Arabidopsis thaliana: one gene and its partner. The protein of the gene in region 1 interacts with the protein of each later gene in a biochemical or structural test. Each region holds a gene or a part of one and is shown in the gene's direction. Other genes may lie near its edges. The genes, in order: OASA1 and SULTR1;2.

What was found.
Region 2: the proteins of OASA1 (region 1) and SULTR1;2 form a complex in vitro, tested with the Arabidopsis thaliana proteins (one study listed by BioGRID).

What each region holds. Positions count from the first base shown.
Region 1 is NC_003075.7:8,518,763-8,522,690, reverse strand, and holds the start of OASA1 (O-acetylserine (thiol) lyase (OAS-TL)), read left to right. Parts: upstream 1-2,094; 5' UTR 2,095-2,359; exon of another isoform or gene 2,360-2,554; intron 2,555-2,624; exon of another isoform or gene 2,625-2,627; 5' UTR 2,628-2,640; coding exon 2,641-2,673; intron 2,674-2,760; coding exon 2,761-2,870; intron 2,871-2,957; coding exon 2,958-3,015; intron 3,016-3,095; coding exon 3,096-3,359; intron 3,360-3,450; coding exon 3,451-3,588; intron 3,589-3,685; coding exon 3,686-3,737; intron 3,738-3,866; coding exon 3,867-3,928. Other genes in the region: AT4G14900 (FRIGIDA-like protein), read left to right, coding at 139-314, 417-932; FdC1 (2Fe-2S ferredoxin-like superfamily protein), read right to left, coding at 1,340-1,804. UniProt on the Arabidopsis thaliana protein: Acts as a major cysteine synthase, probably involved in maintaining organic sulfur level.
Region 2 is NC_003070.9:29,325,764-29,329,691, forward strand, and holds the start of SULTR1;2 (sulfate transporter 1;2), read left to right. Parts: upstream 1-1,751; 5' UTR 1,752-2,619; intron 2,620-3,565; exon of another isoform or gene 3,566-3,928. UniProt on the Arabidopsis thaliana protein: High-affinity H(+)/sulfate cotransporter that mediates the uptake of the environmental sulfate by plant roots. Plays a central role in the regulation of sulfate assimilation. Unable to transport molybdate.

The sequences.
Region 1 (3,928 bases):
TTCTTTACCTTTGATTACCATTAGATGTTTTTAGCTATATATTGGGGAAGCACAAGTTGTTGTCTTTTGTCATGGGAATCTGTGAGTAGTATCTGAAATGGAAAATGATGGTTTTTGGGTTGTTATGGCTTCACACAGATATGATTGAAGAGTTGATAATCAGGGGACAACAGCTTGATGCGGTTCATTTCACTTTTGAAGTTGGTCTTGTACACTTGTTCCCTCCTGTTCCTTTGCTCAAAGCTTATCTGAGGGATGCAAAGAAAGCTACAGCTTTAATCACTGATGATTCCAACAATTCTGGCCGATCTGCGGTACTTTCCTCCATTTGTGTTACTCGTTTTCTTTGCTGGATCCATTTGCAGGGATCTGTTTCTTCTGCACTCGCTTACCAATGTATGTGTGTATTTTTCTAGCATCTTGTGGCGCGCAAAGAGCAATCAGCACTTAGAGCAGTCTTAAAATGCATAGAAGAATACAAACTCGAGGAAGAATTCCCACCCGAGAATCTCAAGAAGAGGTTGGATCAGCTAGAGAAGACCAAAACCGAGAAGAGAAAACCAGCCGTGATTCCCGCCAACAAGAGAACCCGAGCAAGCTACAGCGGTCCAATGCCACCAGCCAAAGCAGGGCGTATCACAAACGCTTACGTCTCCTCTTTCCCACCGCCTCCACCAACATTCATCAGATCCCAAAGTCACTCACCTCAATACGGTGTACCAGCATACACCACATCCCCACCTACCATCTACAGCAACAGGAGCCCTCCATACCAATACTCACCCGAGGCGGTTCATGGTTCTTACCAAACCTCTCCGGTCAGTTATCCGACAGCATATGGTACCTACTGCAGTCCGGTGGCTGCTCCACCCCCTCCAGTTTACCATCCTCACCCGCACCACCACCACCATATTCAGCATGCTTACTACTGATTAGACAATGACAAAGGAAAAAAGAAGATGGTAAGTAACCAACCACTGATCTCTGGTGTCTACGTTTTGTCTCTACCTCGTTTTTGTTGTAATCTCTCTTTTTTTATATCGTATCATTTGTAGCTAACACTCTCACTCTTTCTGGTTCTGAATTAGTCTACCCTTGTGTGTTTATTAATCTAAATTATACATATCTATTCACTTTCCTAATGTTTCAATCAACGAATTTAGTTCAGTACTTAATAGATTCATCTTAAACCAGGAATGTTTCACTGTGATTATGTTATGTATCACTGTTTGTATTGGCTCATTGAAATCAAGATTTCGAAGTCTCATAGCAAGATTCGTTACAAAGTGTTCGTATTACACCAAAAAAAAGACTTCTTTAGTCTAAATCAAGAAGATGATTAGTCGTTGGCAGTGGCGAGCTGGAGAGACAAGAGTTCTTCCTCAGGGATCATCTTAATGTGACAATCAGAAGTTGGATACGAAGCACATAGAAGCGTGTAGCCACGTTCAACCACATCATCACTTAGCATCCCACCACTTTGATCCACCGTTCCGGTCACGAGTTTCGCTGGACAAGTCATACAAACACCGAGATTGCAGTCGTAGGGAACGTCAAGGCCAGAGTCAAGAGCCTTAGATAGAATCGTCTCGTCTGGTTCGACTTCCAATTCAGTCGTCTTTCCGTCGTGCTCTACCACCACTTTATATGCCCGAGCTATGATCCTTCCGGTGGTGAGAAAGTTCCGGCGGTTTGTTGTTGTTGAGAGTGTTGCGTTACGGAGTGGGAAGGAGAAGGAATTGGAGAGATAAGGTTTAGGGAGAGAGATTGTAGAAGTTTGAGTCGGGAGAGGAAGAGTCGCCATGAGAGACAGAGAGACGGAGACAAAAGAGTTTTTGTGTCAAGTGAGAGTGATGACTGTTTGTGGTGAATACGGAGATAAGGTTGATCATCGGTTGTAGATAGTGGTGGGACATAAAAACCGAAAACCGACTTAAACCGAAATTCATTAATGCATTAAACCGAATTAACCAAGATCTAATAAAATGAATTTTAAAATTTTAATTATATTCGTAATTAAGGGAAATATTTTTTCCAAAACAGTTTGAACAAATAAATTCAGTATTATTTTTCCATACTCAAAACTCCAAATCGGACTAACTGAAAAAAAGAAACCGAATGTTCAAACCCCAGTTATGGAAAATATTAACCGGACTTAATACGGATATGACCAAATCAGACCGAGAAGTAGTAATTCTGGTGACCAACCACCGCGTTTTTCTAAATTGATAGCGTGTGCCATGTGACTGACACCAAAGAGATCATATATCTCATCATTCGAAGATTTTATTCCATACAACCGATTTTCTCCATTTTCTTCAAAACGATTCGGGTCAAGGTTATTGACTTTCTCATTCAGGTATCATCTTCTTCCTCGTCCCATACTTTTTGATTCACTTGCTTATTCCTCTGCCGGTTTCGATTATATTTGTTTGGATCGGATAATTGTATGGGCTTAAGCTTATTTCGCTGTTAAATCTGTTGATTTGGTGTTAAGAGTGTTGTATAACTGGATTGGTGCTCATACATCTGGAGATTTATGTTTGATGATTTTGTATGATGTGTTTTTGGTTTGAGGATGATTTATTCCTTTGGTCTTACTTTTCTCTTTTTGTGAATTTAAGCAGTGAAGCTTGAATCATGGCCTCGAGAATTGCTAAAGATGTGACTGAAGTAAGGCTTTCAAGTTCTTTCACTGTTCATTTCACGAAGGAGTGAGCTTTGTTCCATGTTCATGTATTGATTGATTCTATTTGGCAGTTGATTGGGAACACTCCATTGGTGTATTTGAACAATGTTGCTGAAGGATGTGTTGGTCGTGTTGCTGCTAAGCTTGAGATGATGGAACCGTGCTCTAGCGTCAAAGACAGGTTTCTTCTCTAGTCCAGAAACTATGTGTTGTTTCTCGCTTCGAGTTTCGGTTTTGTGAAGACCTTGTACTTTGTTTATTTCTGCAGGATTGGTTTTAGCATGATTTCTGATGCAGAAAAGAAGGGTCTTATCAAACCAGGAGAGGTCAGTTTCGATTATCTGAATCTTCAAACCACTATTTTGTTTTTGTTTTCATTGTTTCTGACTTTTTGTTTGTTCTTTAGAGTGTGCTGATTGAGCCAACAAGTGGAAACACTGGAGTTGGGTTAGCATTCACGGCAGCTGCCAAAGGCTACAAGCTTATTATTACAATGCCAGCTTCTATGAGTACTGAGAGAAGAATCATTCTCTTAGCTTTTGGAGTTGAGTTGGTTTTAACTGACCCAGCTAAGGGCATGAAAGGAGCTATCGCAAAGGCGGAAGAGATTTTGGCGAAAACACCCAATGGTTACATGCTTCAGCAGTTTGAGAACCCTGCCAACCCTAAGGTATGCTTATTATTTACTATTGCTTTAGTGTATCTGTTTTTGTCTGTTTTTGAACCATATTAAGTCGATGGAATTTCACTGTCAAATGCAGATCCACTATGAGACTACGGGACCTGAGATATGGAAAGGCACTGGTGGCAAAATCGATGGCTTTGTTTCTGGGATTGGTACTGGTGGTACCATTACAGGTGCTGGGAAGTATCTTAAAGAACAGAACGCAAACGTCAAGGTGAGAGCTCCATCTTTTCGAACAACTGGCTTTGTTATCTAAGTGACTAAGTGGTGTGTCTTTGCACGGTTTCTCATTTTGTTTCCTCTTCTGTTAGCTGTATGGAGTGGAGCCAGTTGAAAGTGCTATTCTATCCGGTGGGAAGCCAGGTGATTTTGGTTCCCCCTGCGTTTATTACGATAACCATGCATGCATGTTCCTCGTTTCTCGGTTTGCCTCATGTCTTATTTTTTATCCTCGGAGTTTCCTAACACATGATGTTTGCTGAAAATATCAAGGTCCTCACAAGATTCAAGGGATAGGAGCTGGTTTTATACCAAGTGTATTGAATGTTGATCTT
Region 2 (3,928 bases), on another chromosome or scaffold:
TATAGAATCATGAGTTAACAAATACTAAAAACATGTGAATAAAGTTGGTTTAGATCCGAACAAAACATAACATTTCTAAGAATTTTGGTTGCTGCGTTTAAATTTAGTCATAAAGACCACTTCACATTATTTTACCTCTATAAAATACTTTAAATTAAAACTTCTTTTTGTCCCTTAACAAAAATTTAAAAATAAAATAAGAAACTACTTTTTGTCAGCGTTTGCGATGGCAAACTTATGATGTAGTATATGTTTTGATATTTTACATGCAAATGTTACATTACTTGGTACTTGATGTCGAACAACCAATCAAAATAATTTTTATAAACTTTATTCATCGGTACAAAACGATAAACTATTTAATAAATAAAAAAATCTTTATAGACGAGAGTTCTAACCAACCAAGCTAACATACTCATACGTACATAATATTGTTTTTGTCAAACATAATCGTGACTAATTTACAGATTGAAATGCATATACTATGATTAAAATTCATGTATAGAAACTGAACGGTTGACTAGATAAATATATTACCCATTTTTAGGCGGCACCTGAAAATTTTTAGTCGATTATATGCCCCCGACAAATTTGAAACGTTTGGTCTCTCATAATATAAGAAACCGATCGATTATTTTATTTTTCTGGTTGGTACGGATTTGTTCTTTTCGCAATTTCTAACATGGTTATCACAATTCTTAATCATCTTCGTTGAATGCTTCGTAGGATGTTATAGAACATTATTAATACCGGTATATATAAATAATCTTAAGTATGGTTATTTTTAAATAGAATGCATTTTTTTAATATGATCTAAAATAGCGTACAATATCTAAATATATTTATGTAAAATTGCTATAAAATAATGGTTTATAATGTCAAACGAAGATGACTAAGAATTAGCTAAGAATAAACATGCAAACGATTATGATAAATTAGTTTATCTGTATAAAATCAGCAAGTATTGTCGTTTCGAAAACTTATGGGTCAGGAGGTTCTACAATTACGAAATCTCTTTTAGTCTTAGTAATATTTATTGGTAAGTCTCACATGCAAAGCTCTACTATATACCAAACAAAACAAGCAAAAGTTTTAAAAGAAACGTTTAGATTCCTCTGTAGTCTGTGACCCAAAATTGTATATCGTTTAATGCAATAAACGTAATTAAGCTCTCGTATACTTCAAATGCCCAAATATCATTTCAAGTCAGCCTAAAACTATACCAAATTTTGAAGTTCGACCCTAAACGTATATATTTAAAAACTCAATTTCAATTTTTCACATCGTAGAAAGTTTGTGTAGCTAGAGAAACATGTTAATATATATAGTTTCGAATTCATCGGATATATATTTAAGTGTAGTTGGTCCTACATCCCAATATCCCATGATGTTTTTTTGGTAGTTCGGTTTCTCAAGTTGGTTGGTACTTGGTTCGGTTTCTCAACTTGGCCCATGATATGAAGCATATAATATGCATACATACATCTACATTTTCTTTTTTAAAGTGTTACATTCACAAATTTACAAATCGAAACTTGTTATAATATGCATACATATGCAAAACATAATGTGTTACCGACTTCAATCGTGGGTACGTATTTTTGAGATTGATGATAACGTATAATACATATCTAAACAGATTATAACAGCTGTTTAGGACATTCAGTTTAATACCCAAAAAAAAAAAAAAGAAACAACGACAAAATAGTTGACGAATATACATTTAAAAAAAAAAAATTATAGTAAGATAGTGTGTGGCTGGCCGTGAACCAACATGGAGAACAAATAGCTCGTAGCCACCAAAGCACTATCTAGCGCGTAGCGAACACGTAGTCAATGGCTAATTGTACCAAAGACGAACCTAGCCACATTATAGTCCACGTTCAAACGAGGCCCACCAGTTTCTATAAAAGTCAACTTCACCCCCCAAAAAAAACGCTCCTAACTTTTGACCTTTTCGCTTTTCTTGATTTGGAGCCAGTGGCATTGTCGTAAAATCATTTGATCTAACCGCTTTGATGTTCTTGCTTAGTTTCCATTACTTCTGTCATTATCACCTTTATATTTTTTTCTCCTAAAAAAGCCAAATATTCGTAATCACGATCTTTATCTCTTATAATTTAATGTTTATTCCAATTTAAAACATTAAATTTATAAAAGCTCAGATCTATATTTCTTTTTCCCCTCACTTTTGTTAAATAATTTTTTTTATCTCTTGTTTATCTTTCTTGAATTTTTTTCCAGTTTGAAGCAAAATCTATTTTCTCTGTAAATTTTGTACTTTTCTCACAAAATACTAGGGTTTTCGTTTTGTATTTTGATGAGAGAGTGATTCAGTGAACCGGGACATGATTCAGGTTTACTGATTTTACTGTTTTAAAACTTTAGAAAAGAATAGTGAACATGAACAATCTGGTGTTCTAAAATCTAAAAAGGGGAGGCTTTTAACTAATATCTCTCGTGTACTTTTTCTCTAATTCTTAAATCGTTCTCTCTTTTCTGTTTCTACTTTTTAAGATCCCTTTTCGCTTTAATAAATTAAAATAAATCACGTAAAAGGTCTAATTTGGAGGAAAAAGGCTAAAAAGCGAGATCGAATTCTTCTTCTTCTTTTTCCAGGTAAGTGGGTGTTTCACCTTCCAACTATCAATGGCTATGCATAACACCAATTAATTTATTTTGAAACCTCTCATTTATAGAATACACGTGCATATAATGTTTAATCATCTTCTTCTTTTTTGGTGAAAATAGTATAATACTAGTTGATTCCTTTTTCAATTGTGTTTTTGTCTATGTGTATAGATATCAGATTAATCACCCAATTTTATAACTGGCAATTATACAATAATGAATAGAACTAGGAAAATGTTGAAGAGGTATCGTCTGGTGTAGGAGTTTACGATTACAGCGTCTCTTCGATCGGTAGAATATTAATTAACTCACTATCAATCATGCATACTTGTCTACATTACAAAGTCAACACATGTGGTGCTCACTTTGGCTCCAGCAAAAACTGATTACAATATTTGTGTTTTAAAGTATATAAAAATTAGTCAGAAAAGAGAATCGTATTATTTTTTATAGCTTTTTGTGATCGAAATTGGCTTATGTGACAGAAAAACGCCGGTTAATTCCTTAGAAAAACTTAGGTTGAAAATGAATTGCGGCTAGTTTTTATAATAATCATGTCATTGTCCATCAACTTGCACAAGTTAAAGCTTTTGTCTAAAAAATGGGTGATTTAAAATGTTGGTTTAATGCATTCTAATGAACAAGTCAATATGCTGGTATTGACAGAACATCTACATAGAGTTTGGACAAGAGATCAAGTCCCAATTAGAACCACCAAAAAAGAACATATGAATTAGGTTTTATATAATAGCCTTTTAGGTATTCTTTCCAAATTTCTGTTCAGTTAGGTTTGTTTTCTAAGTTTTCTTAAGTCCTTTTCTAAAGTTTATGTCCAACCCAAAACGATGATAAAAAAATCCAGAAATCAAATGTTAATTAATAAGGTTCTCTTCGTCTACTCTTAGCTAAAATTAAATTATTTTATAAAAAAAAAAACGAAAGGATATGATTAACGTTAGTTCTTCCTCGTTTATTGAGGGATAACTGTTGCATTTTTAAAAAATCTCACTATGTGCCACGTGGCTATTCTGGTCAACTATCTCTCCTTATAGCAAAAAAGTAAACGAGATCATTGAATTGAGATTGTTTTCAGTATTGCACACAAAGTTTGCCACAGAAACCATTGACTTAATTTGTTTAAACTTTAATGTCGATCAACGCCAATTAAAAATTGCATCTTTTCTAGTTAGACTTTTTTCAATGTTCTTAATGTACTTGGTCTCTTAGTAATCCAGATTCATCAAATTGTATATGACCACCACTCTCTTATCATTAAATTAAAACAAAACTATCCTAA